Linked DNA regions of Styela clava. Each later gene encodes a partner of the first gene's protein in a complex. Links are inferred from orthologs where the notes say so. Each region holds a gene or a part of one and is shown on either strand. Other genes may lie near its edges. The genes, in order: eukaryotic translation initiation factor 3 subunit B-like, eukaryotic translation initiation factor 3 subunit G-like, eukaryotic translation initiation factor 3 subunit E-like and eukaryotic translation initiation factor 3 subunit I-like.

Evidence for each region.
Region 2: eukaryotic translation initiation factor 3 subunit B-like (region 1) and eukaryotic translation initiation factor 3 subunit G-like share a complex: the UniProt entries of both Caenorhabditis elegans proteins name them as parts of the eukaryotic translation initiation factor 3 (eIF-3) complex. The link is inferred for Styela clava from reciprocal best matches to the Caenorhabditis elegans genes eif-3.B and eif-3.G.
Region 3: eukaryotic translation initiation factor 3 subunit B-like (region 1) and eukaryotic translation initiation factor 3 subunit E-like share a complex: the UniProt entries of both Caenorhabditis elegans proteins name them as parts of the eukaryotic translation initiation factor 3 (eIF-3) complex. The link is inferred for Styela clava from reciprocal best matches to the Caenorhabditis elegans genes eif-3.B and eif-3.E.
Region 4: eukaryotic translation initiation factor 3 subunit B-like (region 1) and eukaryotic translation initiation factor 3 subunit I-like share a complex: the UniProt entries of both Caenorhabditis elegans proteins name them as parts of the eukaryotic translation initiation factor 3 (eIF-3) complex. The link is inferred for Styela clava from reciprocal best matches to the Caenorhabditis elegans genes eif-3.B and eif-3.I.

What each region holds. Positions count from the first base shown.
Region 1 is NC_135262.1:9,898,376-9,906,239, reverse strand, and holds the start of eukaryotic translation initiation factor 3 subunit B-like, read right to left. Parts: upstream 3,194-7,864; 5' UTR 3,052-3,193; coding exon 2,886-3,051; intron 924-2,885; coding exon 731-923; intron 492-730; coding exon 372-491; intron 34-371; coding exon 1-33. Other genes in the region: uncharacterized protein LOC120333244, read right to left, coding at 5,112-5,225, 5,522-6,349; Golgi pH regulator-like, read right to left, coding at 6,694-7,864. UniProt on the Caenorhabditis elegans protein: RNA-binding component of the eukaryotic translation initiation factor 3 (eIF-3) complex, which is involved in protein synthesis of a specialized repertoire of mRNAs and, together with other initiation factors, stimulates binding of mRNA and methionyl-tRNAi to the 40S ribosome.
Region 2 is NC_135254.1:23,798,594-23,806,466, forward strand, and holds the start of eukaryotic translation initiation factor 3 subunit G-like, read right to left. Parts: upstream 3,365-7,873; 5' UTR 3,230-3,364; coding exon 3,210-3,229; intron 2,290-3,209; coding exon 2,118-2,289; intron 1,585-2,117; coding exon 1,453-1,584; intron 1,330-1,452; coding exon 1,197-1,329; intron 1,004-1,196; coding exon 854-1,003; intron 409-853; coding exon 275-408; intron 1-274. UniProt on the Caenorhabditis elegans protein: RNA-binding component of the eukaryotic translation initiation factor 3 (eIF-3) complex, which is involved in protein synthesis of a specialized repertoire of mRNAs and, together with other initiation factors, stimulates binding of mRNA and methionyl-tRNAi to the 40S ribosome.
Region 3 is NC_135257.1:13,248,080-13,256,259, reverse strand, and holds the start of eukaryotic translation initiation factor 3 subunit E-like, read left to right. Parts: upstream 1-4,629; 5' UTR 4,630-4,656; coding exon 4,657-4,851; intron 4,852-5,240; coding exon 5,241-5,357; intron 5,358-5,597; coding exon 5,598-5,724; intron 5,725-5,804; coding exon 5,805-5,986; intron 5,987-6,375; coding exon 6,376-6,564; intron 6,565-6,885; coding exon 6,886-7,116; intron 7,117-7,426; coding exon 7,427-7,588; intron 7,589-7,780; coding exon 7,781-7,879; intron 7,880-8,180. Other genes in the region: ubiquitin-like FUBI-ribosomal protein eS30 fusion protein, read left to right, coding at 622-738, 875-977, 1,064-1,119, 1,197-1,322; glucose-induced degradation protein 8 homolog, read right to left, coding at 2,485-3,171. UniProt on the Caenorhabditis elegans protein: Component of the eukaryotic translation initiation factor 3 (eIF-3) complex, which is involved in protein synthesis of a specialized repertoire of mRNAs and, together with other initiation factors, stimulates binding of mRNA and methionyl-tRNAi to the 40S ribosome.
Region 4 is NC_135257.1:18,325,339-18,334,212, reverse strand, and holds the start of eukaryotic translation initiation factor 3 subunit I-like, read left to right. Parts: upstream 1-5,148; 5' UTR 5,149-5,374; coding exon 5,375-5,377; intron 5,378-7,122; coding exon 7,123-7,250; intron 7,251-8,273; coding exon 8,274-8,392; intron 8,393-8,874. Other genes in the region: uncharacterized protein LOC120346396, read left to right, coding at 902-1,814. UniProt on the Caenorhabditis elegans protein: Component of the eukaryotic translation initiation factor 3 (eIF-3) complex, which is involved in protein synthesis of a specialized repertoire of mRNAs and, together with other initiation factors, stimulates binding of mRNA and methionyl-tRNAi to the 40S ribosome.

The DNA.
Region 1 (7,864 bases):
GCTGATTTTTGAGTAACTTCAATGTTGTCAAACCTGAAATTTTCAAGGCATAACATATCAGACCAATAGATATCACATTTTATACATTATCAACGTCGAGAAGGTCACTTTTCGAGATCACAGTAGGTACAGATAAAACATAGTTAACATCCAAAATAGTTTTCAAAATCAACGTTCAGCATAAATTTGGCTCTAAAAAATCGAAATTATTCAGAACACCATAAACCATTTTCCGTTTAAGACCTGTAACATAAATGTTGCTGCAATTTCAACTAGAACGCTGGTTCAATGACATCACTGTGAAAAATTTAGACACATAAATTTCGCCTCAAAATTTTCTAGTGTAATTTGAAACAAATGGAATAACATACTTTTCTATATCATTAAATAAATTAACTTTGAATGTATGAGCTTTGTCAAGCTTGTATCCATCAGCCTTTTTCACTGCTTCTAATGCATCCTCGGGTCTAGTGTATTCAATAAATATGTATCTGAACAAAGAAAATGATGAATTTCATTCAATAAAATGAGAGGGATGAAGAGAGCATGCAAGAATGAAAACGACCAAGATCAAAATTAATTAAAAATAATTTGAATACATTAAAATGATCGCAACAGCTTTTACCTATTCATATCATAAGCCTATTTATGATGTCTTCTTTTAATAATAAAAAATGTATATAATTAAGAACTTCAAAGTTTGCTTAAAATCAACATAGCGATTACTTACCCTTTTGTTTGTCCATTCTGTTGTGGAAAATGTTCGGACTGGATTGGTCCAAACTTGGAGAAAATTTTTGTTAAAACAGACTTGAGTTTTTCAAGTCTACTTTCACCAACGACAGGTATATTGTCAACAACAATTACAGATTCACATCCATCTGCTTCTTTTGGCTCCTTTCTCAGAATGTCTCCCAGTAATTCTGAATATATAAGTTGTATATAAATAATATATGCTCAATTTTATAAAAAAGTATATAATATATATGTATAATATATTCTAAGAGGTATTCCAACGAGATACATCAAATTTGTCTTTACTGTCAGTTTTGGTAGCATCAACACAGCAGATAGGTTATCAGAGCTAGGCTGCAAATTTGTTGTTTGATCCCAAATAGATCATTTCAGTGATTCATTTCAAGTGTGCATAGGAAGTTAACCTCTGAATGTTGCAGCTTAAAAATAAGTTGATCGCAAAGTGGATAAACCATCCCGTAAATTCAAATATTTTTAAAAAGATACCATGGACACAGGCCATCAGAAGACGTTGGATTGTTTGACATTTTAAAATAAATTCCAAAATTTATAATATTGAAAAATAGGATAGGATTTACATATTTATCCCGGGGGCTGGAGGGAGAGGGAGCTGAGGGCCTCCGGTTATCATTCCATGTCAGGTATGAGATTAGTTATTTGTTTTCGATAGCATGGCTTAGATGGTGGAGGAAGCCATAACCAACCAGCAGTACGTGAACCACCCTACGGCGGCGAGGAGTCCAGCAATCCTCTTGCACATAACTATCTCCTAGATGTCAATACAGCACACTATCCGAATTCCAAGAATTTTCCTCCATTTGGTTCAATAAAACAAACACTCCATGTCTCTCACAAAAGAGGGGCGTCTGGCACGACGACGGTGAAATTTCCCATAGTTCCGTCATTCCTGCATTTTAGTTTTGGCAATTTCCTGTGGTTCTCGCATTTCAGTGCATTTCCCGTTTCCCGCATTTTAGGGTTGCCCACACAGCCACGCCATATGACAATAAAAAAGAACAGTGTAAACATTCTGCAGTTCTATCAGAAACTTTCATGCAGTTGCAGAGTTCCCTGAATTAGAGTGGGAGTGGTGACTCTTCTACGACGTATGGGCCGGGGCCACGACCCATCGAATTGGGAATCGGCCCATCAAGTTGTGTAAAGGGACTATTCACTTGGCTAACACAGTCAGTCCCCGAACTCATATTAGAACTATAATGTAAAAAATATGAACAAAATTTTGTAATAACCCTAACCTGGTACACATACTACAGGAGTATTCTATCCTGTTGCTTGGTATTTTGCTTTATTTTTATTTTTATATAAAGGCCCATCGTAAGAAAAAAATTTGGAGTCTCGTGAAGTACACGCCGCAAGCACTTGTAATTGGCCTGGCTCAACAATTTTTGCATATGTCATTCCTAACCCTCACTGACTACGTCATCCAAAAATTACATCACTGCATAGTCGCAGTGACGTAATAAGGCCCTCCAAAGTAAACGTGTGGTCGTGCAGACAATCATCCGAAATTGTGCAATCTACTCTCTCGTTTTCTCGCCGTAACGATAACGATAAGAGAGAGATCGCTGGGGTTAGTGAGTTCATTATAGTCGGCACAGATGACATTTAGAACGATTGTAGTTATAATTTAGCAAGCTCTATGTCGCGATTGTTACGTCGCAGTGATGTAATTTTTGGGTGACGTACTTAGGTGAGGGTTAGGAATATTGTATGCAAAAATCGTTATGCTACGCCCGGTAGAAGTACTTGACGGCGTGTACTTCACCAGACCCAAAATTTGGTAGCATCTCACAATTTTTTTCGGTTCGAATATTGACAATTTTGTAAAAATTGCAAATTTTGGTAAGATAATTGAACTTTTCCTGATGGGCCCATGTCAGCATGTGGCCAAATTAGATGGACCGTGGCCCCGGCCCATAGAAAAGTCACCACTCCTGTGGCTGAATTACCAAGTCTGCAAGTTAACGTGTTGCAGAAACCTGACTGCTTGAGTTAATTTAACTGCATTCTGGCATTAGCAAATGAAAAAAAAGCAGTAAATACTGAAATAAAGCACATTCTGACATTATCAAAACCCCCAAATTGTGCAATAAGGATCACTCCCATACCTTCATCGCTGATATCCTCTTCATAATCCTCTGGATCGCTGAAGTCTGGCTCTTTCTCAAAGTCGTTTGACAATCCATCCCCATTTTGATTTTTCTGTCCTCTCTTCCTTCCTTTAACATCTTCCCACTGCTCTTCCTCGTCCATTTCATTTATATTACGCGTCATTACACATTACAAACTTCCTAATGAGAATTTATGAATAATATTGCGAAAACACGGCAATGAAACTAGAAATCAAAGATCCACCCACAAAAGCAGCCACGCAGCATGAGAATATCTGACAAGAAACACATGCTCCTGGACTCAGAAATTTAGCGCCCTCTGGCGCAAAACTGAGATGAGCGCCAAATATTCCTTTTGTGATAAATATTCTGACCGTTTTGTGTTTACGTATTAGTTCTCAAGACGACAAAGCAGCCAATTAATTTCATGCTATTTTTATGTCTCAAATAAGGGAAAAACTATCAATCTGTATGAACTTGGTTCAATCCCTGGACAAATCTGGCAAGGACTGTCTGTCCGTATAAGGACCGAAGAACCCAGATGCGAAAGCATGCGAATCAGATTTGCAAAAAGTAGCTTTTTTTATGCATCGTTCACATACTTTGGAACTCGGGATCTTTTACATAATAGTGGGTATGGGGAACTAACTCTGATGACCCAATTAGATGACCGCATGGTCGTATCACTCCCCAGCAACTTTGAGTGTTTTTCAATGTTTCAATGCTTGTTTTCTGGTTGACGAAACAATAACCCTTACTCTATTAATCTTTTCTATGCTACTGTAACAGATTCAAAAATATTTCTACGAATATATTTATATCCATAAAAACTGGAATCGAGAATGTTCAGATGAAGTAGCATTGACTACAGGGTATCTAGTGATTTCAGGTTTCGATTCAAAATACATTTAGGAAACCACCGATTTCTGTACTTTCAAATGTTGAGGACCCTCAGTTTTTCAGCCTCTGTTGTTTTTTGTCTTCCTTTTATCTACCGTTAAGGAGGATTTCATTATAAACTCACCTAAACGAAGTCAAATACAACGCGCTAGTCCTATATCATTAGAAAAGATTCTTCGAGGAGTGATTTTCTGTACTGTTTTTAAAAACAGTAGAGGCTGTTTCGATAAATAGTGGGATAACCAATAGGCTACTGAAAAACGAGTTCGATTCAAACAAAATGGCACATATGGATTGTTCAATCAAAACTAAGTAATTATATTACTTTCAACCAACGACTAACGCTTCCAACAAACAAACAAAAAATATATATATATACTAAAAATGTTCGGACCTCCTGAAGTATGCGCACCAAGATGGCGCACAACCTGAACTCAGGTTGTGTACCAAGTTAGAGTTCAGGTTATGCGACATCTTGGTGCGCGTACATCAGGAGTACCAACTGTTCGTTATTGATTTGCCAAACTCCGCTTGCCACGCAAATGCGGATTTTTCATTTATCTCACGTGATACGCATATATGTATGTAATCCGATGTGTTTCAACCATTAGTCAATTCTCATATGACATACGATTTTTTACGATAACATAAAGATCTAACTTGTTTGTCCATTATATAAACGAGTTGTTAGTGTTATAAATACAGATGCGCAAAACCCAAAATTCCCACATTCTTATTACCATCGGCTATTCTCCTCCCATATTTTATACGCGAGCTAGTAATATTATTTTGCAAAAATATTTTTTTAAAAACAAGTTGTGTGCTATATTTGAAACGTCTAGGGTTAACACTGCCCAACAGTTGTGTCAAAGCGTCCATCACAAAACCAGCAGTTTGGTCACAACATAAAACCCTCATTTTATAATATTTGAAAACTTATTCAAAATTGCATAACACCAAAAATAAGGCAAAATAACTACAACAAAAGATACAATACTCGTGAAAACATGGAGATGTAGTAAAGTAAGAATATTTATATATATACTAAGCTATAAAATATATTTAACTTTGCCACTAAACCAATAATGTTTGCATCATTATCTAAATCTGGAAAGATATAGAAATATTTGAGGCATAAAGAACTAAAATGATCTTTCAATTTCATGGGGTATTTTCATTTCACATAATATGTATAGGCAGACATTATCTTGTGAATGCGTCCAGTTTGCTACACATATAACATATTCTATCTGTGATTGCAATGGACGAATTACATGTTTGTGCAAGACCCTCTGTGTCAACAGTAAAAACAGTGGAATTTCCTTATAATTTTTCGCAGTCTAGAAAACATTCATTCTCTTCATCCTGTTCAATCACCAATTCTATCCTAGGAATCTTGGAGCCTGCACATTTATCTTGATCAAACATATCTTCATTCTGAGAACAGAAGCAGTTATGAATAAAAAAAAAAAGTGAAACAAAATTAACATTAAGTCTTTCTGCTACTTGGATGTGGCTCATATAGAAATATAAGATTCATATTACCAAGCAATGAAACAATATTAACATTAAGTTTTTCTGCTACTTGAATGTGGCTCATATAGAAATATAAGATTCACATTATCAAGCTATACGGCAAGCACGCAATAATTTGTGTTATTGACAAGAGCGAAGCTATACATTATCAAAGGCGGCCATTCTACATAAATTCTGTTACAATGCTCACTGCTCACCTGGCATATTTCGTCATTGGACGATCTTTTAACTTTTGTTTTGGATTTATTCGAAAAGCTTCTCTTGATTCTAGATAAAAACTGTTTCCGTAAATTTGGATTAGTTATTTGGTCTCTCAAAACAGGATATTGATCCATTGCTAATGTGACAGCATGAGAAATCCTTGTATCATGTGCATCTTTAATACCAATTGCTTCAACTATATCTAATACAGTGTCTTTGTATGGACGTTCAGCACTGGTCAACCATCGACCAGAAGCTAAAGTCCCAACTTCAGGATACAATTTGTAAAGATCACTTAAATATGCTTCCATATTACCAAACTTGAGCTGATCTTTGTTGCGTTGTTTGTTTGCGGTAATAGCCGATTTTACACGCCGTCGAATTATATGCTGCACGTTAAATTCATGTATGTATTGTCGCAATGCTGTGAACATGTCCAAAACAAGCAACACAATATCCTCGATTCTAAAATCTTGTAAATCATGGATTCCAATTTCTTTCACCAAAGAGTTTATAGTTTTAGTCAATATGCTATAATCACTTGATTTACCACCTTGGACCTTTTCTAACATATTGAAAGCATTTGCAGGGTCCGCTGTGGGTTTTACTTTCTCCAAAACTTCAGAGTAGCGAGAACGAAGCTTTTCTATATTAGCATCAGTCAATTCTTTTATATCCTTTTCCTTGGCCTCTTCATCAATATTATTATTCTCATTTATGTAGTCCGAAGTAAGAAAACGTAATGTTCCTTCATCATTGATTATTTGTAACGCAGCATTGTCGCCTTCAATGAAATTCAATTCATCATTTTCAGATTCAATCATAGCTTCGGTTCACTCTCATCTTATATACTCACAATATTGAGAAACATTATGCTATCTTTAAAAGAAAAGAACATGAAAACAAATCATTTCAGACATGCTTTACAAAAATCATGGAAGAATTTACATGTCTGCGCTAATACATTTGCATTAACTTATAATTATGAATTCTACTTTTTATTGTTACTTTGTTAGTATATCCATATTATGGCAGTATATTCCACTGGTATACTGTTTTATTAAAATCTACTTAGGCCATAATCCTCAAAAGATAAACTTAGACCTTCAATACTAATGTTTAAATTCAATCTAATTCTTTCTTACAAGCAAAACACAGTTCTGTAAGATCAGTCATTAAATGATAATGATAGTTTGACATCTTGAACTATATGTTTTTCAGGAGCTTGCTTATGCGCAAGATACAAAAATCCTATACTGCTAAGGGCACTAATAAGAAAAATAACATCAAACCACCTATGATAGAATTGAAATTGGAGTTCCCCCAAAACCTGAGTTATGATTTCTCGATATGAAGCAGGCATATTCATTCTCATTAGTAAAACAGAAGAAACAAAATACATTCCCATGATTTGAGCAAGCCCCATAACAATCACATTTGAAGATTTACTGCTCGAAATCGCATAGAAAAACTTTGTAAGGGTTATAAGAAGACCCCTAATTGATGTGACTATCATAATACCAACTAATATAAAAGAAACGTGTTGACTCCAGAATGACACGTCGACATCAAAGCCGAGATAATGAACTAATATTTCAAATCCCTTCGTTATTGGGTCCTTTTTACCAACTCTGTTAAAAATAATATTAATAATACACATGAATATTTTCCACATGCAATACAGAGAGAAGAAGTAACCTAAAACATTGAAGTACATTCCCTTGAAAGTTTTTGAATATTTAATCCGTTCCTTCGTGGCATGTAAATCAACAGTTTCTAGAAACAGCTGTCTGCTTAATTCTTCATGAGCAATTACTTCTTGTTGAAGTAACGAAACGTTTTCGTTTCCAGGTGAAGAAATTGGAGAAGCCACATTACGAATTCGTGCCCAAATTCCACTTTGTGGAACATTTTCATTAGCATTTCTTGAAGAATTATGATACTTTGCGATTGCAATCCTTTTTTTCTTGCTTATTACCATTTCATTCGTTTGCATCAACTTTCGTTCAATAAGCTGAATATCAGAATCTGTGACTTGACGAAGGAAATAGGAAGAGTACGTATATGGGCAATTAACAGCACCAAACCCGGATAGTAATGCCATCACAGTGACACCAATAACACCAACTCTGCTTATTACTTGTTCAATTGACAAAATACCATGCTGAGCACTCAGAATTGGAAATGGATCACCAATTTTCCAGAAAAAATACATAAATATAAGCCATATAATGCATGCAGCTGGAATTTTATATTTTGCAAACATGCTAACATTGCTTATAACAAAATAAGCAATACAAAATGGCAAGACAAACACAACTACAAAAAGCATAATGTAC
Region 2 (7,873 bases), on another chromosome or scaffold:
CTTGTTGGTTTGGACATGTAATCGAGGGCGCTGAGTGGTCTCCGAGACTACTTTGACTTTTCTAAACCGAACCGGTTCGCTGGGCTGATTTTGATGGACATGTAATCAGGCCTATAGCTTTCTATATTTTAGGGATTGCTTATCCTAAGCTTGGTACAGAAGTGCGAAACACCATGCAAAATTTAAGAGGCTTCATGGTATGGCCTATTCAAAAATTGAGCTTGGTAATTCCAAATAATGATTTCAAAATAGAACTTCGTTCCTGCAAACATACTTTTGATTGTTGAGTGTGTTTATCTTTAGCCAGATATATTCTCTGTATTGGACCAAACGGTCTGAATAATTCTTGTAAATCAGATTCCTTTGTTTCTTCAGAAAGATTAGTGACCCGTATTGTTGCTTGTTCATCTGGGAAGAAGGCATGAATATAAAAAATTCGCCTATTTTACATCAAGTTGTGTGAAGGGACTGGAACCTATGAGCAGGGGTATATTCACTTGGCTAACACAAACAGTCCCCAAACTTGTGATAGGACTAAAATAAGGAAAAAATTATGGCCTAACCCTGACCTGGTACACATACTACGGGAGTACCAAAATAAGCACAAGGTGGAATTTTCAAGCAGATTTTAGCAATGTAACTTTTTTGTTTTACCAAAATCACTGAATGAATTTTACCAAAAGACGATGATATTGTTGTATTTCAAAAATTTAATAAAAAAAAAATTACTACAGAAATGCCTAAATGTGTGTTTTTGTCATTGCAACATGACAGAACTAGTAACTCAATAGACACTAATGTTTTGACTATTATATTTTCATGAGCATTCAGTTAACAAATCCATAATGCAAACCTCTAGCTCCCCGAGATGGCATAGAAGATCCTCTTGCTGTTGCTCCAGCTCTCAAACTTGGAGGGACATACTTTCCACCAGTTCCACCTCCTGGTCCCGCTTGAGTTGGACTATCGACTTCATCTTTTTTTTCTTCCTCTTCCTTTTCAGCTGAAAAATTAAATACGATTAAATCTCAATGTTGAATTTTTCTTTCAGTGATCACTACAAACCAGACTATAACAAAGCGGAAATATGTGCCACGAATGTATCAGGATATCTTTGAACAATAGATATAACAAAAAAATACAGATAAATTTTTAATAAATATTCGACACAAAACCAAACTTATCCAAGATCATACATGGCCTATTTCCTGTCTTGAAATTCTTGAAAAACATGTAATATTGTAGTTGATTACGAAATTTCGATAACATAGGATCTTCTTGATCATGAATTTCCTCCTGTCTACTGTTAATGAACTGCAAGTTCACATCCTGCATGAAGAACAGAATAGATTAGAAACCCAAATTTCTTATGATGTATTTTCCATTCTATACCTCAAATAATTCCTTTGTAATAATTAACTATATATGAATTTACAGTGTAAAATGACTAACTTCTGAAATAATGGTGGTCGCACGATTTGGACCGGGAGGATCCTCCTTTGATACTCCAAATTTTGGTAAATGTTTTCTTCTGGCAACTGACTTTGATGTTTTCTGGATTTCAATCTTGTAGGTACGAACAATCTGAAATTTCATATGAAAAATTTCAAAACTTGTATCTCAAAGCAAAGTTGCATGGATATATTGGATGGATGAACAAAATTAAAACTGACAAATTAGATAAATCTTTATAATTTGAGGCATTTGGGAAATACATTGATTCATGCGCAATTTTAACCCAGTATTTCGATACTTTTATTGTTGCACTACTATTATATTTATTCAGCATATTTATTACGACTATACCGTAAGTTTATTTTGGCTGCATAACCCTGCATTATTAGCGCAAAAAGGAATGACAAATTTAAAAAAAATTTTAATAAAGAACCAGATAGGCAAATATAACTTGGGAATTAGAATAATACCTCAAGTAACTTGATTTGGAAACAGTTTATAATTTAGGCATAAATTAAGTTCTCAATTAATCAAACATGGATAGTATATAATATATGTTTTCGTGATACACAATATAAAATTCCCATGGTTAGTAATATGCCTTTGGTTTGAGTCTATGTATTTGATAAATATATTTAGCAGAATAATGACAAAAAACCAACCTTAACTTTTTTTCCATCTTCGTTTATTTTGTATTCTGTGATAATTTTTGTGTTTCCATCTTTTTTTTCTGATGAAGGCGGCAGTTGATCATGTCCTAGTTCTTGTACCTCTGCTTCTTCTACTTGATCTGCCCAACTCGATGGTTCGGCAGCATCAGCCCAACTCACTTTACTAAATAATAAAACCAAAGTTTCATATGATTCTGAATGTTTTTTAAATTTATCAATATCATATTTCTAACTATGACCAATCTGATATTGCCAAAGATGACATTTGAAAATATTTTCTAATATGGATATCCCTGAAATATGACATAGCAGAAATAGGGGTAACGGAAGATAAAACTTTTTGAATGAAAAATTCAAGATTTCAAGTGATCCGTTTCTACAGCCAAGACAAAACTACCGGCACCACTGCATCATTGGAACAGGCACCAGATATGTCACGTAATTATACTGGCCATGCTGCATAATTACTATGCATTATTTTATCAAAGAAAACTTTATTCTTACTACAGACAATATTACTTGAGAAAATTATTTTATTACTATTCAATCAAGCTTGTTTAAACTAATTAATTTCCAAAATGATGAAAGACATAATAAACCGGAAAATATCATCATCAAAAAACAAGCAGTATTCACTTGCTACTACTCTGATGAAAGTCAGTTAACAATGCTATAACATTTTTTAAGATTGGAATATGATTTGCTTCAATTATTAATTCCAATAGAGATGGAAATAAAAATGAACTTTTCAACAAATTTACACAATGGAAAAATATCAATTAGGAATTGAAAAAAAACTGCAACAAAAACATCATCATGGCACTGGACAGTGCAAAGTAGATGTTATTTGTTACTTATTAATAACCGATGTCCAGTAATATTTCGGTAATTATTTTATAAATATAAACTCAAAAACATTGACTATATACTGAACTGGGTCATGCATATGCTACGATTACAGAAACCAGAAACTTCATATTTTCCATGGCACATAGGCCATAGACCGAAGTTTGTTTGTTGACTTTGATACCTATGGTTGTTCAAGGTTCATGAGCAAGTCTTAGAAATAGAAGTTCCTTTTACCTGCTATCTTCAGACGGCATGTTCACACTGTGATGCTACTTTTTTCGTTGTTCCCTCTTTCAATTTCCATTTTTTTATATTATGTTTTATGTTAAATAAGTTAACATATTTGAAATAAAAAAAACATGTAAAATTGATATACATTAATGTAAATGATTGCTCCAATCACTTGAGAAGTACACAATACTGCATTTGGAATAAATTGTACTGTAGCATTCAACGCAATATAGGAATCGGCCGTCGTGCCAAACGTCCTCGCTTCAGAGACAAATTGAGTTTGTTTTATTGAACCAAATGTCGCGAATCGATGAACTGTGCCCTGTAACATTATATAACACAGTACGGTACATATCTCAGATGTCGCATAAAACAATACATAAAACAAACACTCAATTTGTCTGAAAAGAGGACGCAGAGAACCCATGCACAGTAGGTAATCAGAGGTCTGGAGGTGCAGTGGCGAGCGTATTCCTAACGCTCGGCACGATGCGCCACACCGCCAAACCGAAGTGAGTAGCACTGACTCGTCCTGACCATCGTTAAGAAAGAATGTGATGACTAGCATCCCAGCTATCCTCTCGCATGACCCAGCAATAGGCCTACCGCGAACCACGCCAGGGCTGCCACTTTTGCCTGACTAAAAACATCTAGATTGACCTCGAAAAACATCATGATTGAAAAATAAAACATCTAGAGAATACATCTAGATTTGAAGTCATTAAATTTGATGAAAATCAACGAAACGAGAGCATTCAAAGTTTATTATATTACAGTATTACATAATATTAGATATCGAAGAAGCTAATATCTATTATACTATTTTCAGGTTGTGCGCCATCTTGGTGCACATACTTCTGGAGGTCCCTTTTTACCGAACCTTAACGCCAACCATATCCATATGGAAAATGTTCTAAATTATGGTACCCAAAATGTGTCACCAGCAGGGGCAGACCTGCCATTACAGCATTACTGGCTACATATGTTGGTTTGTGTTTTTAATTTGCTGCCGTGGTACTCCAACTCAAAACAAGGTGCCCCGAACTCATTGCAAAATTTTTTTCTGCTTCACACTGTTTTGCGCTCTTTCCCCCACTGTTCTGCGCTGTTTCTCTCTGTTTTGCGCTCTTTGTGGTGTTTCGCGCTGTATTCAGTAAGTCTGTAAGTAGTAAGACCGGTTCACAGCACCAAAAAGTAAAGAAAGACAAATTCAATTGCACTAAAATAATTTTATAATTTTAAAATCCTATAGTAACCAACCTGAACTACACAAATTATTCTCACCAATTGGCAACAATACAATACTAAGTACTGAAGTACCGGTACTGACTTATCGTCCTTTCTATTTACAGATTTAATTACCGGTTTTTAAAGTCACATAGGGTGGCTTACCCACTTTGCGGCCATGACCTATCTGCGACCATCAACTTCATCGATCAAATTAATGCCGAAAAAATTAACGAACCGCGACGATATTTCTCACGCGTTATCGTCCACTTATCCCTCGTAGCTCTGCGAAATTACACTAACTAAAATGCGGCCACAAATAAAAAAGTTACGACCGAAAACCTGACCGAAGAAAAAAAACTGACCATTTTACCATGTCGCCAACTACCCATTGTTCCTTTAACAAAGGTTGAAAATCGATACAAATATAAGAGATAAAGAGATGAAACTTGGCAGGTGGGTAGAGTTGTGTTTCTTTTAACCATCTTTAAAGTTTCACGTTTCTACATTTAAAGGAGGGGGAGTAGGGGGGTGCGCATTTCCAATACGTCAATAATATCTTTGTCAACTAATTTGCGACCACTGTGTTTTTGTCTGTTTGATTGCTGTGATGCGGTGCTTTGTTCATAATTTGAAGAATTTTGTTCGAAATAACCGTGTTCTTAAAATATATGACGGTCAGAAATGCAATTAGAAGCCCATTTTTCACTCATGGCTGCGTATGCCCTAGTCTCGACGCAGCAGAAACGATGTTCAAGGCTTGAAATCCGTGATCGCACACTGGTCGTTCGGTCGCAAATACGTCTTCAGAGTGTCGTACTTTGGTGGTTTGTATAGCTTTAACCCCTGGTCGTAGAAATTTCAGCGTGTAGAATAAATGCCAATGCACCTACGGTGAAAAAATTAACGGGTTAGAAATATTGGTTTTTGTTTATAGCGGTTTGAATGAAATCGTCCGCAGACTGGCTACACCACCCTACCGTAACCTAAAAATGCTTAACTCGTTATTCGAATTATCTAATTACATATTATGGTACCCGTAGATTAGATAAATACAATATATTATATATATAAATGAGTTTTATAAATCTGACACTAATAGACTATATTTAACTTACTTCTGAGTAATGAAATAATATTCATTCACATATTACAGTATTATACACATCGCTTTATTCATTTTCCACTGGATAATATAAGGAACGTTGAAAAACATCTAGACTCCAAATTCTACATCTAGATCTAGCTATAAAACATCTGGAGTGGCAGCCCTGAGGAACAGGCAGCAGATATGCAGACATCGACAGGCACAGCGTGCAGATGTTTCGTGGATGTTTCGCTGACCCTTGACCCATGAAAATTTCTTTGTATGCCTTTTTGTACAAAGTGTATAGAGCAGTGGTTCTCAACCGCCGGTCCGCGGCAACCTTGCTGCCGGTCCGCCAAATATTTTTCCAATATTAATATATATATTATAAGCAAATTGCAAAATACAAAGTATTGACGTATTAGTTTTATGATTTTTTTTTAACTCTTATTGATTGATGAGAAGTCCTCTGCCCATTTGAACCATTGAGGTGTGATGATTTGAACACTGAACGGCTGGATGTTCGTAAAGTCTATGACCTCATAACGGCGGCTAACGTCATAACGGAGAAGTTTGATAGCACACAGTTAGGGTTTTGTTTTTTATCAATTCTAAAAAAAACATCCTGTTTCCAAACAAGGGCTTGTTTTAAATCATTTGTTTTTCTTTATTTTTTATTGAAATACCCTTTGCATCGCCGTGGAACTACTCCAGAACATTGCGTTATGAGTAAGAAAATCATGAAACTTATTTAATCAATTCAATCAAAGGCAGCCTTCGGCAAAACAAGGTGCGGTATGAAGAATATACTTACATCGGCGGCAATCTGATTTAAACGATAAGACAGGCTATGCTAATTGTAAGACCCCTCTGATGCACTGATGTCGGAACTAATCTGTTATCACCCCATAATAGGGATTTTGAGTTTCTGTATTAACATTTTTCTCATAAAATAAAGGCATTATTACGGTCAAAACTATTCGGTTAATCTTAATGTATACTTAGCATACTTTGTTCTTAAGGTTAAAGTGATGAGGTTTTTCAAAGTTATACTAACTCATTTATTCGGTTGTATTTCAATTTTCACAGGGTGGTTCTTGTCGTAGAGTCGTCCACGCAATGTCTTATCGGTTGCGTCTTCCTGCGCCAACCACTTTTGCAGACGCATTGAACTAAAGCTTGAGAAGGCGTGTATGGGCGTGTATGGATTGATTACTTTGCACAACAGAAAAATCGGTGCCCCAGAAGTATGCGCACCAAGATGGCGCACAACCTGAACATAGTAGGTGTGTACCGGTTAGGATTCAGGTTGTACACATCTTGGTGCGCATACTTCTGGTTTTAACTTCCCTTCCGTAACTCCAAATAATTACGTAATTCCGTAAATCCGTAAATTACGTGCAAGCCTAGTCAATCCATGACCGATTGGGCATATTCAAAATGTCTTGCTTTATTAATTCACTTGTATTCAATTTAACCTGCGGTTGCGTCGACAAATAAAGTCATCACTACTCTGAAATGCCATGGTAATCCGCGTACATAAAAATGTGTGGTAAACTTTATTATATCTACTTTCGATCCGTATTTTGCGAATTCGACAAATCTGAGCTGTACTTGCAACTTGCAAATTATTTTCAAGATAAAACAGTTAGAAAAATCCCCACGTCTGCTATAAAATCTCAAGGATTTATCTTGGTACAATAAAAATTGATTGAATATACTTTGATTAATTATCTTATATATCACCACGACTCGGGAAAAAGTCGCGTTTCAACCTTGTATATATAATATTAACACGAAAATTGTCGACGGCAATTTAAAGCAATGGATACAAGGTCAATTCCGCGCACAATTGACTGTGTTTCGATTTTAGTGACGTTATGGTTCCCAACGCCGCCGAAACTCATGTGTGCCGTGTGTCGAAACTTATCTTTGCGATTCACAATGCCCAGAGAAGCGTTTCTAATCTGTCGTGGGCCTCCTACAACAAATTGTTTACGTTTTTTTTTATTAGTATTTTATATTTTCGTATTTCAATCAAAAAACTTTGCGTCGCCGATCCACCCGTTTACTTGAATTTAGCATCTCGCCGCCGATGAACGTATAATAACTTTCAGCGAATTTCGTTTCTCCTTGGATCGGGAGTCTTAGGGTAACCAGGTCGTCTCGACTTACTTTGATGTAAACTTGTTTCAACAATTATATATTGTTTGATTTATATAATACTGTTATTTATCTAGACTTAAGTCATGGGTCACGCTGCTCGATAACCAGTCTTGGTGTCTCGCGGCTCACTTCACCCTGATGTACCATTTTACTTCTTATTTTGTATTGTTTACTTTAGTATGGTGGA
Region 3 (8,180 bases), on another chromosome or scaffold:
AAATAGCTGTGATAGACCAGGCTAAAATTCTTTACCGGTACTTTAAAAAACAAATTATTGTATGCTATGAATCATAATGATGGTTTGCAACACATACCCCGTTTTACAGGCGCCAACTCGCAAAAGCACTCTAAAAATAGCCTTGAAAATTTTGCAATGGTAAAGTTTAGGAAGAATTTTTCGGGGGTCAAAGGTCCATTCTCACGGGATTCCTATCATTCAACACGATGCACCATACCGCTAAGCAATTTTGAAATACGGTCTTTTTTGCTTCGCATTTTTCGATCAGGCCAAATCTTGCAAGCTATTATGTAGTCCACAATTGTAGAGCTACAATTTGTTGGCATCTTTATATTACCGGATTATTGATTTAAAAACCATTTAAACCGATTTTCATTAGTGAGCAATTGCATGTTTTCGGCAAGCAAAATTGAATTCGCTCGCGTGCATTTCTACGAAGCGCTAGCGCCTTCGGGCTTCACCTGCCTTGAAATCCAGTCTGGTATAATAGGGCAATACCTTTTAAATCAATTCAGGATTAATTAAATCCATTTGTGGCACAATTCTCTTGAATGAAATGTCTGTACTGATGAATAATGTTATATAATTTGTTTTTAGAAAATGCAACTTTTTTTGCAAGCAGAACAGCTTCATTGTGTTGAGGTCGATGGCCATGAAACTGTCGCCACACTCAAACATTTGATTGCCCTTAGAGAAGGCATATCAGTTGATGATCAGGTTGGTACGATTTCTTCTCCAATTTAACTAAATTTATGATTTTTTGTCACTTCTTACTGAGCTTTTGCTAATTTCCTTGCGTTTTGAAGTCGGAGAAGTAGTGGCCATAATACAACTGCTTTTAACATATTTCCAGATTCTAAGCTGTGGAGGACGAATTATTGAAGATGAACTATCTATTAACGATTCCAATCTTCAGAATCTGTGTACCCTTGATGTCTCGTCAAGGCTTCTTGGAGGTATGCCTCGAATTGAACTTAAGATTTAATATATAGATACATTTATGATCAAATATATAGAAGTCATGATATCATGTATTTTTTAGGCAAGGTCCACGGATCCTTGGCCAGAGCTGGAAAAGTGAAAGGTCAGACCCCAAAGGTAAGATTCAAAAGTTTGTATCTTATTTTGTGAATTATTTCATATATTCAGCTTAATAATATATTACATCGCTGCAGGTGGACAAGCAAGAAAAGAAGAAACAGAAAACTGGACGGGCTAAGAGGAGGATGCAATATAACAGGCGTTTTGTCAATGTAGTACCAACATTTGGCAGAAGGCGTGGACCTAATTCCAATTCTTAAGTGGTATATTCCATATTGTAATAAAATGGTGTGATCCATTTCAATATATTGTTGTATTTCATTTATGTAATGTAGAGGTATACGATCAGAAACAGTTATTCTAGACAAGGTTTGATTAAGTATCCAAATTTCGCAAGTTGTTTTAGAATGCAACATAGACTGAAGAATATGTTTTAAATTGTCCACAGAACATATCAGTTTGTTCCTTTCAGATGAATATGTTAGAATTCAGGAGTATTAAATTGCGAAAACTATTTTGGGATGTTGATTTGTACAGTCTTTTTTTCAATGCAATATTTAGAGACAAGGTACTTTTTAATACATCCCTCGGTCCACATGAGTGTTTCATCCGGCCCACTTCCGCCTGTTATAAATTAAGACTATAGTTTTTACGGATACAAATTTCTCATGCAATAAATACCTATTGCATTATATACATCAGTGAAATGAGCAGGCAGGAAGGAGATTGTTATCGACGCTAGTTAAACTGTTTTTCATGAACCTTGGGGGCCCAGTAACCAAGTTTATTACTTGTAAGTGGCCCACTTAAGAGAGTGATTGGCCCATAAGATTCTCGAGGCTGGTCTCTTAGTGTGTTAATCAATCCTGCTTTTGAGATACAATGGCAACTAATTGGTGGGAAATAGTGACCTAATTAAATAAGTGAGAATAAATATTATATTAGTAGAGACATTATGCTATTTACACTAATTCTTGATGATTCTGCGGTAAAAAAAATAGTCTGGACAAAATTTTATCATTCTTCCTGTCTCCATCAATGTCCTGTAGGGAATTCCATTCCTGACTTTCTTTATTGAAATACTATAGAGACAGTTTACCACTTAGGTAATTTTTATAGCAAAGATACATGTTTATGAAGCTTCAAGTATATTCTTGGTTTCATAAAACTGTACAATTAAGTGTCCTTGGTTAATGGTGCACAATTGTTCTTAGTAAAATGCAGCGGAGTGTTGATATTGACTTGAAGAACATTTATGAATGAAATGAGCTGCACAGATGTTCTTCATAGATGCTTTGCCTATTTGAGAAAATTCATTATATAACATAGGGAAGTATCAATAGCACCTGCATGTCCGAACAGTGCCCACATGTAAATGTATTTAAGTGTTTCATAAATCATAATCTTGATTCACTCTAAATGTTAAGAAACTTCTCCCTTCGAAATATCATTCATCTTATGATAATGCACTCCTTTTGCCTCAAGCTGAGACTCAGACCATATTAGAAGCTTTATTAATTTTGTTAGGCAAGGTACAGATTCTTTGTTTTCATATTCCATAATTGCAGCATTGACACGACTCCAAACTTTGTGCCTTTGTGCAGGGCATAAAAGGTCCAAAAATGGCGACTCTTCAGGCTTTTCAAAAGCCAGCAAAGCCAAAGCTCTTTCCATATCGACAAGGCATTCTGGACTTTCTTCACCACGTTCACTTAAACTTGTTTGGGCAAATTCCAACGCTTCTTCCGTTTTGTGTTCACGTATGAGTTCAATTAACTGCTGAAGCTGCAGATAGAAAAGTAACACTCTGTCATCATCTAAAAGCTCAGGGTGCAGATCATTGATGAGTGAGATTGCTTCTGATATACACCCTTTCAATATTGCATCTCGAACTTTAATTCGACCTTCGATTCCTTTCAGGCATTCCGAAGCACTTATACCTGCTTCAATTTCGAATTTCTCTGCAGCCTCTTTGTATCCTTCTGTTACCAAATAGTCCATGATTAACCTGTTCATAATAGCAGATTCAATGTGCATATTTTCCATCTCTTCAACCCATTTTTCTTTATCGTTCTGTGGAGATTTCTCTTCTTGCATTGTCACATCCATTTTTTATTTATGTAATTAATGCAAACTGTTTTTTCATCTGGAATACATTGAGAAATCACTGACTAGATGAGTTTTTACATTAGTCGAAATTAATATTTAGAATAAATCAGCATTTGAAAATTATATATATATTTTTTAAATATCGATATAATAGTCATTCATACAACCATTGTCTAATTGTTGACAAACTTTAGTTGAAGTTTTACATATTTTGATATAAAAATTATTGATGTTCAAAAATTATGATTATACACAACTGGTTTACATCAGCATGAATCTCTCATAGTCATACTGTCATAGCTTCTAATTTATTGCGTTATTCATTTTAGCAAACATGCATTCATTAAAACGAATGTCAGATTTTAGGGAATTTCATTGAAATCAATAGACTACGGTATCGAAGATTAGTTAGGACTGATATAAACTAAATACCAGTATCATTTCAGTCTTAGACAATAAACCTGCTGTATACTCAGATACTGATACAGCTAGCTTCGAAGTGAAAAACTTCTTTTCAACAGCAGTAGAGTAGTTTGGGGATTGTTACCTTGAGTTGTTGGGGAAAGAATTTGAATTAGGTAAGTAGAAATTTGCGACAAACAGAAAAAAGTAAATTCTGAAATATGGCGGTCTAACATCATTAATTATGTAATTAGAGTCATTAGACCAACGCTTAAATAGTTTTTCGCTGTGGGAATTCTGCAAGAAATCGATTTACGGAAACAAAAATACTGCCTATCGGGAAAGAGTGCATAATTTGATGCTAGGCGGTTACAATCAAAGTGACAGACTAATGAATGACTATATTCACTTCGGTTACAATCAAAGTATTTGTGATGTTTCTATGACCCTTGACCCCTTGATCTTGATTTTTGACTACTGCATTATTTATTTGCGTTATTGCTGTCTACAAACAAATGAATATAGGATAAAACAAATAATAATAATGAAAAATCATCCTTATATACCGAATTAGCCATTTGAAGTAGACAAAATATGTCTTTGGCCACAAAGGATGCGTTGACAAGGCATGCTTGAACCCTAGTGACGTCATTCAACACCATCACTCGAACACTCGCGTGGCTATAATACAGGAAAAGGAGAATTTGTGTGCTTTATTTCAGGGGTACCCACCGTATGATTGTTTACTTCTCGTTTAAATGAATAGATCAATATTATAAAATTAGAAGTATCCTAAAGTTCATTTGTACGATCTGCATGCAAGTTGCGTTACTAGTGATTTGCTCAAATTTGAGAAAGTTTAGATGTTTGCAGGCTTGTGAAAATGATTTGGATATTCCGACAGCTGAGATCACGGACTAAAATTAGACATTTCGGAAAAGGGAAATGAGTGTAATTCTTTCTAAAAAGATAATCAATTAGTTAAATTAAAATATAGTCCACTTGAAAAAATCAATTAGGAAACTAAAACGGTTCAATTTTTCTTTATGTTATATAGGTATAGTTATTCCAATTAAATTTAAAATGGCTGAATATGATCTCACATCAAAAATTGGTTGTTATTTGGATCGCCACTTGGTGTTTCCATTATTGGAATTTTTATCTGAACGAGACATATTTGATGAAAGGGATTTGCACAAAGGAAAAATTGATCTTCTGAGCAACACAAACATGGTGGATTTCGCAGTGGATGTTTATAAAACTTTGTATCCTGGCGAGGCAAGTATAGCATCTGATAGCTTTCAATTTGGGTCTAGTGTAGTTTCCAACATGAGTACTTCTAGTGGGTGTAACAATTTTAGCTTATGTCCATCTAACCCACACTTGATTGTGTCATCCAAAAATTATGTCACCACGATGTATTAAGGCCCTTTAAACTATACGAACTGTAATCCAAGATGCGCAGATGTTCTCCGATCACTTGTTTTTTCGCCGCAACGATCTTAGTGAGTTCTTTTTCGTCGGCGCAGATGCCATTTCATCGGTTGGAGGCGTGAAGTGATTGTGACATGATATTGATGTCATTTTTTGGATTGTGTAGTCAAATAGGGGTTGGTATTTGATATACGTACATTTGTGCTCTATTTAATGATGCTCTTATTTTTAAGGAGGCTCCTGCTCATCTAACAGAGAAAAGATTAGAAGTTGTCGGCTTATTAAAATCTCATACTACAAAAACTATGCCTATCGTTGAGATTTTCAATAACCCGGAAGTCAGTAAACAGGTTGGTGCTGCTTATTATTGGATTCAAATGACTGATATTTTATACTAATGCTGATAACAACATACAAATCAATACTTTCTGTCCAGAATATTCATTTAATGTAGAAAATATGAGCATTTTACCATATAGTTCCAGTTCGTGAGTATTTTGCTCTTTTAAAAAGTTTCGGCTAGTACTTGTTTGATGAACAGTTCAACTGAATGATAAAGCTGCATTTCTCAACATTCTCTGATTTTACAGGTCGAAACTGTCAGAGACGGAAAACAACTTTTTGAATATCTGGAAACAAACCATGCATTTAGGCTCGAAGACTTAGATTCTTTATATGATTATGCCAAGTTCCAGTATGAATGTGGTAACTATTCAGGTATGACTATAGAGATTTTAATAGTCAAAGTTGGTTGTTCAATCCATTTGGTACCTGAATTCTATTAATATTATTTTCAGGTGCTGCTGAATACCTATATTTTCATAGAGTTCTTGTAAGTCCGACAGATAAACATGCGATGGATACTTTGTGGGGGAAACTGGCTAGTGAAATATTGATGCAGAATTGGGATACAGCTTGGGAAGATTTGCATAGATTGCGAGAAACAATAGATGCAAACACAATAGCTACTCCTCTGCAGGTTTCACTCATTAGTTATTTGCTAGTTTCACTCATCTTTATATCAATATTATATTTATATGTATATATTGGATAAGATGTTTAATAATAGAGTTGGAAATTTTAGAGTTGGAGGCTATTTTTTCTTAGCATGACCTCATTTATGTAAAAACATGCTCAGAGCTGTGGAAGTCTGGTGGCAGCAAATTCGTCTGCATGTGACAGTTGGGCTCAAAGACCCATAAAATACAGAGCTGATAGTCAAATATATAGATTTATCAATAATATGGATTCTAGTTTTGAGAACATTTTTTGAATATATTTTAAATGTACCTCAAAGTTTAATTTATTAATTTCTGTGGATTTACAGACTTTGGTATTTTAAATTTTAAAACATATGTTTTGTTTCAGCTACTCCAGCAGAGGACATGGCTGATCCATTGGTCTTTGTTTGTATTTTTCAATCATGCTAAGGGCAAAGATGAAATCATTGAACTTTTTCTCTATCAACTACCTTACTTAAATGCTATTCAAACCATGTGTCCCTGGATACTTCGTTATCTCACAACAGCAGTTATCACAAGTAAAAGGAGAAGACAGGTGAGCAATTAATATTTGATTGTAAAGTAATAGGTAGTTTTAGGTAAATAAATAATCTATAATATTTTTGACTTTTTCTAGAAAGCCCCCGCCAAAAAAAAACACTCCCCCTCTGCTCAAATTAAAAAAATTAGTGTCTAGATATTTTTTATTTAATGATGGATTCCAGCACTGAATTTATCGAAGTCGGGGTTATCGACAGCGAATGCTCAATCTGCAGTACTTAAAATGTGGCGGTGGTGTTTTCCAAATCTTACATTTTTGCATTAGTGCAAAAGATCCAACAGTTAGCAGTTAGGTTAAACAAACTTCGTCTTCTAGGTTTTGAAAGATCTTGTTCGTGTAATTCAACAAGAGACCTACACATACCGTGACCCAGTCACTGAATTTATTGAATGTCTTTACATTCATTTTGATTTTGATCGTGCTCAAGAAAAACTGAGGGAATGTGAGACTGTATTGGCAAACGATTTCTTCCTCATTGCTTGTCTTGATGAGTTCATAGAAAATGCAAGATTGTTCATTTTCGAAACATTTTGCCGTATTCATCAGGTATATAATTCATGTTATTTATTATTTGGCTTCCCCATATTAATTGCTCTAACACTATTATTAATGAGTATTAAAAGAGTCTGGCTGTACTGAACAGTGGTGTTTAGAGTAAAATGTAAAGTTTTTAAGAGTTAAGGAGTTTTAACTATTGTCATACTTAAAGACTATTACTAGTTCCTAGCTTATGTGATAAACATGAACTCAATTGATTCTTGAAGTCCCAGTCATTATCTTGTGCTAATATCTGATGGTTGGTTTTTTTCATTTTTTGGATACGTAGAATCAATATAAATTTTTTCTTCCTACGCAGTGCATTAGCATTGATATGCTGGCAGAGAAACTCAACATGAGTTCGGAAGATGCAGAGAGATGGATTGTGAATCTAATCAGAAATGCTCACTTGGATGCTAAAATAGACTCCAAACTGGGCCATGTCATGATGGGAACACAAGCAGTGTCACCATATGAGCAGGTTCAAAATTATGTTAAATGCAAGAATTCTTCTATTAGTTATGTGTAAACGTATTGATAAATTCATTGTTTTATTTGCATATTAAAATGAATAAACACTATATTGATACTAATTTCAACAAGTGGTTGGGACTCCTTACAGACACAATCGGTGTTTTCAATTGCCCAATAAACCCGACATTCTTGTTACCAGGTTATAGAGAAAACTAAGAATTTGGCTTTTCGAAGTCAAATGCTCTCTACCAATGTAGAGAGAAGACTGACAAAGGAAAAAAGTTCCAATGAAAGTGCAGTAAGTGATTATTGAATATCAATCTAGTTTCGTTTTTATTGGGAGCATGTAATCGATGCAGCAATTCCATGCTGGGATACTTTATAGGAAACAAATTGACACTTCTTAATCCTCATTGAAATAATCTCTCAATTATCCAAATTCTTGAACTTGGATATTTAAAATCGAATAAATAGATACCTGTTTCTAGCATGATAATTTTAACTCGCCTGATGCAAAATTTGGTCAAATAGTTCAAGCTCCAATTAAAAGAAATTTAACTCAATTACATGACAAAGACGGTAATTACATATTAGTATTT
Region 4 (8,874 bases), on another chromosome or scaffold:
GCGACACCCTGTGACGTGTCCATATATTTGAGCACAGCTCTCTTGATCATCGTATCTTGACAAAATTCTTAGCTAGTGTTACGCTTACTCGGACTCGAAATTTTGCATAGTTTGAAGGGTTTGTATGTATTCATAATTATGTATTGCAATGGTTCTACACAATTTTAGTAGAACTACACGGAATGCAAAGTAATATTTCTGGATTTCCATCCCCAAAACAATTTTTCACACCATCATCGTATATAGTGCAAAACCTTCAGTGGATACTACCAAGAAAAATCGAAAGACTACGTAAAATATATTAATGTTTCAATCCAGAAATTAAAATCGTGAAATTAGAGGCTCTGAGCCCAAAAACAAATGATAGCAAATAATGAAGTATACTGTGGTAGTGTAATAACTGATGAACATGCAAAACTGTGAATTTTTTAATTTAAAAAAATCTCACGTCAGAACGACTTATATGTTCTATTTTTTTATATGAAATTTTCACACCGAACTTTGTCGTTGCACTCATTACTTATCGATTTTAATCGGTAGGTATGTTGATGGGTATTTGTCTGTTAGATGCACGCGATATCTCATGAAAGCAAGATTGAATCTGCTCCAGATTTTGCATGTGCATTCATCTTATCTCGGACCAAAAGCCTATTGATTTTGGGCGATTTATGTCGTATAATTAGCGAGTTATTAATTAATTAGTGATGGGACACAAGGTGTCACTATGGAGTGAGAGCGCTGTTTTGGGGGTTCTCCTAAGTTTGATCGATAAGTCTTCGGTCTTTGACCGATATTCTCGTTTTTTTCTTTCTTCCAAGCCCACCTTTAATTTTACATGTGCCTTTTATCTGGTTTATACATTTTTTTAAAGCAACTTATCAATTTCTAATTTTATTTTCAGATCGACCATACACAACGGCTTACTACGGAGCAATCGTCTTCAAGATTATTCCTACCCTTCCGTCGTAAGCAGCACGCAACAGCTTCTCTGCTTAACTCCTAGTAGGGGTGGAGTTATTACCCTTGGATCAGACGACGATGTGAATAGGGTTGCCAGACTGAACGAGAACAATCCCGTTACATTGCCAGCGAGAAAACCCGCTGATCACGACAACGGAACACCTGTTCCTCTCGCCACTACAATAGTCACAAAAACATCTGGCAACGATAAACAACAACACGGAAGCAACTTTTATAGACTCATGCAAAAGAGCAATTCTCCAAGACCACGCACGTCAACCGCACATGGGCACCCATTTTCACTAGCCAATATACATTACAAACACACTACTCAAATACGTAAACCATACAGATATCCAGCTCTTTCGCCGAGTGCAGTGAATGCAAGAAAAACTGACGGCACGGTTTCTAGAACACCGGTATTCGAGCGCAATGCAACTGCAATGAGCATGGCTAAAAGTCCAGCAAATACTACATTTAAAATCATCGAAAACCACGTCAGATGGAATCGCAGGCTACCGGTATTTAATCCAGATGATGCTCCCAATGTATATCCATACCAGCCATGTTTCACAATACACGATCCCGGAGCTCAATCGCGTAAGATGGCGCCTGTACTTCGGGTTATTCCTGCGTTTCCACAAACTTCGAAGATCCAGCAACAAAGAAGGGTCAAGGTCGCCAAATCACCTGTTGATACAGAGGGTGCGTCACAAAAGAAAGTTCGTTTTACGGACCAATTCGGGCTTCCCCTCGTTCGAAATGCCACACCTAATTACAGGAGAAAACATTCGTACATTTTAAGATGGCTGGAAACTGCAGGCAGACCGGCCAAAACGATTCCTTTAGTGTGATCTGTATATATGTATGATTTCTCACTTTTCCTCGCAGTTTTATTATAGTATAATATCTTTTGATTCGACTTTGCACTTAGTACCGTGTCACCTCGAAAATAATCTGAATTTTAAAATTGATTTCAATATAAGCCCTCCCCTTAAAATAAGACCTAGTTGATGACAAGAAATCTTTCCTACACGTTTTAAATGATTAATATATATATTTGAAAATCTGGTAATTCCCTACTTTGTAATTTTGTTTTATGATAAATGAAAATAACCCCCCCCCCCCCACACCAATTAAAAGAAAGCCTAGTGCTATTTTTTAAACGAAAATTGGAATGAGTCTCTGTCTCATTTTCGGGGAAACACGATGCTTAGTAATGACATGAGGTCAACTGTGACAAAAATTGTACACAACAATTATATTTGATCTGTATAATGCGACCAACAACTTTGCCAATATGAAATTGTGAAGCTGCATCAAAGCATATGCTTAGGAGATTTTCAGATATCAATATCGTATACTGTACCACAAAGTCGTTCTTTTTCCTACAAAGATTTCATTTGATATTCCATACCTTTAATTACTAGAAGTTGGAGACATATTATTAACAATATTTTATTGAGCACTGCGAACAATAGTACGCAATTGTGCCTTTTCTGATTGAAAATTCTATTTAACGGTATTGATTTGTTTAAGTATATATCATGTCTCGAAGGCAGCACGGTCTGTATGTTGAATGGCAACCTTAACATAAAAATATATTAACAAATATCCATTGAATCCTATTTATAATTATATTTGCCTAACTACTTTAAGGTGCGGAGATAAGTATTATAATAAAGCACCCTAGCACTAAAAAAATAATTGTTTCTTGATTGCGTTAATCTTATGAGTCAGGACTGGGAAGTGCTACTATTCCTATGAAAATGTCTAAAGAGTCCTAAAGCAGCTCAGGTCAATACTGTACAATTTAATTCGGAATAATTCTTCATAATGCATTTAAATACCTTTATTGCATAGAATGTTTTGAAAGCTTTGTATTTAATACGGGTATTTGAGTATTCCGGTTTGGAATCTTAACCCTCTCCGGGCCCCTTTATCTTTTAGCAGTGGGAAAATTTGATATTTGGGGAAAGCAATACTTTTAGGTCATATATGATTAATTTTTGAAAATTTTCGACAGTCCGATTCCCTGGGGGATTTACTGGATGTTGCGCTAGTGCAACTTCTGCCCAGAAAGGACTAATTCTAAAATATCACATGTATGTTGTTCAATCTGCAATACCTTATAACATGACCGGTATGTATACCACAATGGTTGAAAATATAAATGGTATTGTCAAACTTATTTCATGGCTCATTTCAAAACTACAATTATGATTAAAAGTCGCAATAAAATGTAAACAAATGTTAATATAGATCATGTTTTTGCACTCTTGGTAGTTTCTCAAGTCAAAATATTTAGAAAATGCATATGAGTTGTCCCTTGACACTTTCATTTACCTATATTTTTTAAATTATTCGAAAACTTTGATTTTCCATATATATCAATGCAAGAATATAGAAAATCAAGCGTTTACATTGAAATAATTTTGCATTTACTTGCTGTAATGTATTTTATCGGAGAAAGAATTTTTAGCGTGAAAGTCATTTTGATTACGCTACGCAGCGAAAAAATAGGAAACCAAATTTTTTGGTAGCAGAAAAATCGTTAGCAATCTGTGTGTTTATTTACAGGTTTACGATTTCGATATTTTTGGACGGTTTGTTTCCTCTTTTTACTTCAGACTCTCGTTTGAATTTATCGACCGACCCTGCCCCCAGTCTAAAAGACGGCCAGTCGTAGTTTTCTGCAGCATTTGTGTTCAGGCCAATTCTATACCAATTAATATAGATTGGTTTATGAGTAGATTGCAACACCTTTATGGTGTTGTCAAAAATTCGGGGCAGAGAAAAACTGTGCTCTCCCGAACATCGAATTAGCTTTTATGTTTATCTGGCTGAACGGCGACGCACTCGGACTTTCAAAACACGACTAAGTTTTAACTCTAGATTCGTTTTTAGATAGCTATTGTCTGTCCACATAAATTCCAACAGTCAAAATGCTGAAATGGTCTGATTTTTTAGGCTCAAAATCTTAGCTACATAAATATCGTTCTGGAAAATTAGGTGTTTTATCAAAATCAGCGTCATCGACATATTCATAATTGTAAGTCTCAATTGCTCCTTTGTCTGAAAGTGTGGCATTAGAAATACGCGCTAATCCAACGCAATTTCTGCAAAAAATCTCCCCTCTGGCATATTTGCAATTGTTCTGCTAGATCGCTGAAAATACAAATTTGAATCAATCTGAGACACTTCTCTATCATTCTAACCCCGTATTTATGGCTAATATACCTCGATTCCATTTGTTTATAAATCTGAATCATAACACTTGTGCATACTTTATGTCACGCCTCCTAAATCTTCTGTTTACAAAAGAATTATCGGAACCCAAATTTTTTCCTATACGGCAAATTCTCATATACTGCATCCTAATGATCCTGATTGTAACTTATGTGACACAGGAAACTCATAAACTACGTTATCTGCTCAATAAGCCAATATAATTGACGAAACTATACAGATGAATCTTAGCTAATTTCACAACCGAAATCCACTTCTGAGGGAAGATGTTGCACCTATGCAACACTAATTTTAAACCACCCCTCATGAAACCACATAAATCGTTCGAGGTTGCAATCGGTTTGTAAAGCCTCTGTAAACACCATTCTTTTACCCCGTGCACAGATATGACGAATTCGGTGTATATTAATTAGTATAGTTGCTTAAAATATGACCATGGTTCACCAGCCTGACACGAGCACCGGAGACCGCATCTTGCTAAAGACGCTTGCAGCGTCATCAGGCAGCGGCAATGCAAAATAGCAGTTGCATCGAACCAACTAATTATCGCAGTAGTACGTTGAGTAGAAAAAAGCATTCTGCGGCAGAAAATGTGCGTCATAGCTAGTTTACAAGATGTTGTTGCATACGTGTTACGCATTCCCGGAGAGGGTCAAACCGGAAAATATATATCAGTTGTAAAACAAAATCGTGGGAGGAGCAAGAATTTCATTGATAATCTATCTCGTGTTTCACTATGTTCTAGAATACAAAATCCATTCAAAAAAGGGTCAAAATATATAAGATTAGTTTTGTGCTACTTGGTGGAATCCCAGTCATAACATTAGTAGTCAATTATCGGAGAGCCATAAATAAATAAATAATTTGCATCGTAACTTCAAATCCATTTTTGCTCAACAGCGCCAACTCGAGTACGCGAATTATTTCGTTGAGATCTAACTCGTGTTTAGCTCAGCTTACTGTTCGCCACATGTTGTCTTCAGCTCTGTGGCTTCTACTATCTGACAGTTCTAGTAATTATACCTACAGTTCAGCAACTGGCCCTTGAGTGCAAGCATTCGAACGGCTTCTATCGCATTTCTCTTTGTCCATAAAGTCGTCTCAGTGTGTTATTGGATTTTATTTCTGAAGATTTTCTAGCGTTTGAAATTAAGTGGACTGGGATATGGTGAGTTTTTATTATTTGTCCATCTTTCTGCCGGCCTGTGCATCATTTTTTGTTTTAGCATACTTTTAAATATCACTGTACTGTTATAGTGCAAATTTTGGGTCAGGTATTATTTAGTACCACATGCACTTCTAGATGGCCTGGCTCCACAATTTTTGCATATGTTAATCCTAACCCCCACCTGACTACGTCACCAAAAAATTCCGTCATTTGGACGTCACAGTGGCGTAATAAGACCCACCAAAGTATGGAGAGGGTCGTCCAAAACGCACAGCTGATCACCCGAAATCGAACAAGCTAGTTCTCTCGTTTTTGCGTCACAACGATCACCATAGAAGAGAGATCGTCGGCGTTAGCGAGTTCGTTATCGGCGGTGCAGATGCCATTTCGGGCGATTGTAATTATACTTTGGCAAGCCATATCACGTGATGGTGACGTCCTAGTGACGTAATTTTTGCATAGCATAGTCAGGTGGGGGTTAGGAATAACAAATGCAAAATTCATTATGCTACGCCCACTGGAAGTACTTGTGGTACCAAACTATACTAGACCCCAAATTTTTTCAATGGCTCAAGTTAATTCCAGTATCAAGTCCATGCTAATAACTGGCTAACTAATCCCATACCCGACCTGGACTGGTAACCGGACGAGAGGCCTAGGTTCGCCATATGATTAACCTTCCTAACCCGCCATTCCCTAGTCAAATTTTTAAAATATTTTTAATTAGCATTTGTCACCTAACCAATATGGCTTGAAAGGCCATTGAAGGCTTGTTTGAATCGTATTATTGTTTTCTATACGCAAGAGGTCGCTAATGGACCGCTCCATGTACGAAATTTTGCGTACGTGAGAAAATTCATCGACGATAGTAAACAAACATTCGAACCTCTCTCCTTTATGGCCGTTGAACCTTACTTATGATAACGGCACTCTCTCGCAAGCGTTATAGCCGTTTTGGTGTTTGTCTTCCTAACAAAATGATATCACAGGCAATGGTGTAGCGCAAATAGCTGCCGAGTAACGAAGCGGTATATTTGTGAAGTCAACGCAGTTCTTGTTTGTTTATTATTGTGCGGGTAATTATTAGTGCGTGTTTACGCGAGGAAAATGGGCGCTCGGCCGCGCAAATTACTTTCTTTCAAGTAATAACGTATTCCTTTGTATGTTTCTTAGCTTTCAAATATTTACAGATATAAAACTCGTAAAATTGGAAATATGCCAAAAAGGAGTGACGCACAACCCGGGTGCAAAAACAATCGGACAAGCCTATATCATGCTTGAAAAAGGCGCGAAAATGTCTTATTGGTTTTGTTTTGAGTGAAGTCCATAATAAGACGTGTACATAAAGAATGTTAACTCTTACTGACCAATCATATTAGAGCCATATTCATATTGTAGTTAGTTCGCATCCCGAAATAACAGGGTTAAGCTGTCTTATTGCCTTATCGGCTTTCTTCTCCTTCAAGATGAATAAGTCAATCTTAAGTGGGTAAACTGGCGCATGTATATTTACATATATTAAACCTTTATAGAGGTTTTGCCAGTTTTCCAATCTTCTGTGTGTTCATTGTTTGTGTTTAGTGTATGATTATTTTTGCGGGAAAATCAAAATATATATACTTATACTACTTATCCTATTCTTCACCTATACATGGTAGCTTCATTCTGAATTCCTAATTGGGCTTAACTAAAGGATATCGCCTTGACTCAACTTGATGTCAAAGTTCTTCTATAATATATTTCAGAAACCTTTAATTCTTCAAGGCCATGAGCGTGCAATCACTCAAATTAAATATAACAGAGAGGGAGATTTATTATTCACAGCAGCAAAAGATGCTTCACCTAACGTCTGGTTCACAATAAATGGTGAAAGGTAACTTGTTTATAAGTTTATTTCGACTCCATAATCAGCAGATGATAGAATAATTGATAAAAATAAAATAAGTAAAACTGATTATAGAATCGGGAGAGCAACCAAAACCTTAGGTAGGGTTTAAAGTGTACAAAATTTAGATGGAAAGGTATTGATAAAAGAAGTAGTTCATGTTTGCTCACCTCATTTAAATATTACATCATTTCGATGACATTTTTTAATCAAGTGTTTGTTACTTGTTTATGTGATGCTTGTTCACATCTTTCGTTTCGAATAAAGTCCCTATGCGGCAGCCACTGATAGCTATCGATATTTAAGAAGCTATTATTTGTGAAGGATCAGAAGCTTTTTGGCATTGCCTGCCTACCCAATTCATTACATTCTCAGTGAGACGGTTGACATGGGGTGAGATGATGTACAACGGTTTGTATACGCTTAGTTTCCTGCATTACTGAGATATTTGCCAGTGCCAGGACAACCCTATCTAAGCCTAAATGTCATATAAATCCAATTGTATTTTATTGCCTGTCTTATGTCACCTTGCGGTCAGATAATGTAAAAGCTTTTGAAATCCAATCTCACCTTGGAACTACATTCATGTGTTTTGAATTGAATTATCAGTTCAGCTAAATTCCACAAGTAGAACAGAATATATCACGACAGTGTGGCACATCGTGCTAAGCCACTGCACCTCTGATTATCCTGCGTGGTCTTGCAGGTTCGAATCCCATGTGGGGTTAGTTATGTGCGAGGATATTGCTAGACTCATCGCTCTTGTAGGGCGGTTCACGCTGTTGGTTGGTTACGGCTTTCTCTGCAATCAAGTCCATTCATTTGAAAACAAATAACTAGCTAACCAATCCCTTAACTGGACTGGTCACCGGACGGGAGCCCATGGTTCGCCATATGATTAATTTGTCTTATCGGCTTTCCTCTCCCCCTGGATAAATATGTAAATCCTATTCAAATTATTAACGATATAATTTTGCCACTCTTGAAATTTCAAATTTTGTTCTATTCTAGGTTAGGATCATATGATGGTCATCGAGGTACAGTCTGGGCAGTTGATGTGAACTGGGATTCAACCAGAGTCCTAACTGGAGCTGCTGACCAGTCGTGTAAATTATGGGATTGTGAAACAGGTATTGAAAATGGTCAATGAGAGAGATGGAGATAAAAATTTTGTCAAACCAGAAAACATAATGGGGCCTATATAAATAAAGAGAAAATAACAGAATCAGAAGTTTTGGTGGTAACGATACAACCATTTACTATCATTCAATACAAATACATAAATTAACACAGGTTCTGTTCCATTACTGGTACTAATTCATATTGAAAAAGGGTGGAAATTTGTTTCTAATGCTTAGCATACTTTCAATATAACTCTGTGCTGAAGAGAAAGTTTTTTTGTAAGTTCGCTCAAAGCACGGTGTTCAAATCTCATTTCAAGTGTGATATTACACACAGCTTTTTTGTGTTTTAAATGATTCTCCATCTGATTTTATTTTAGTTTTAGCACACTTGGTCTGTGTATAGTGTCAGAGTATCAAAAATTGGATAATTCCATCATTGTTTGTTTTAATCTGATGCCTTCTTCTATATTTATCTCTTGAATGGCTAA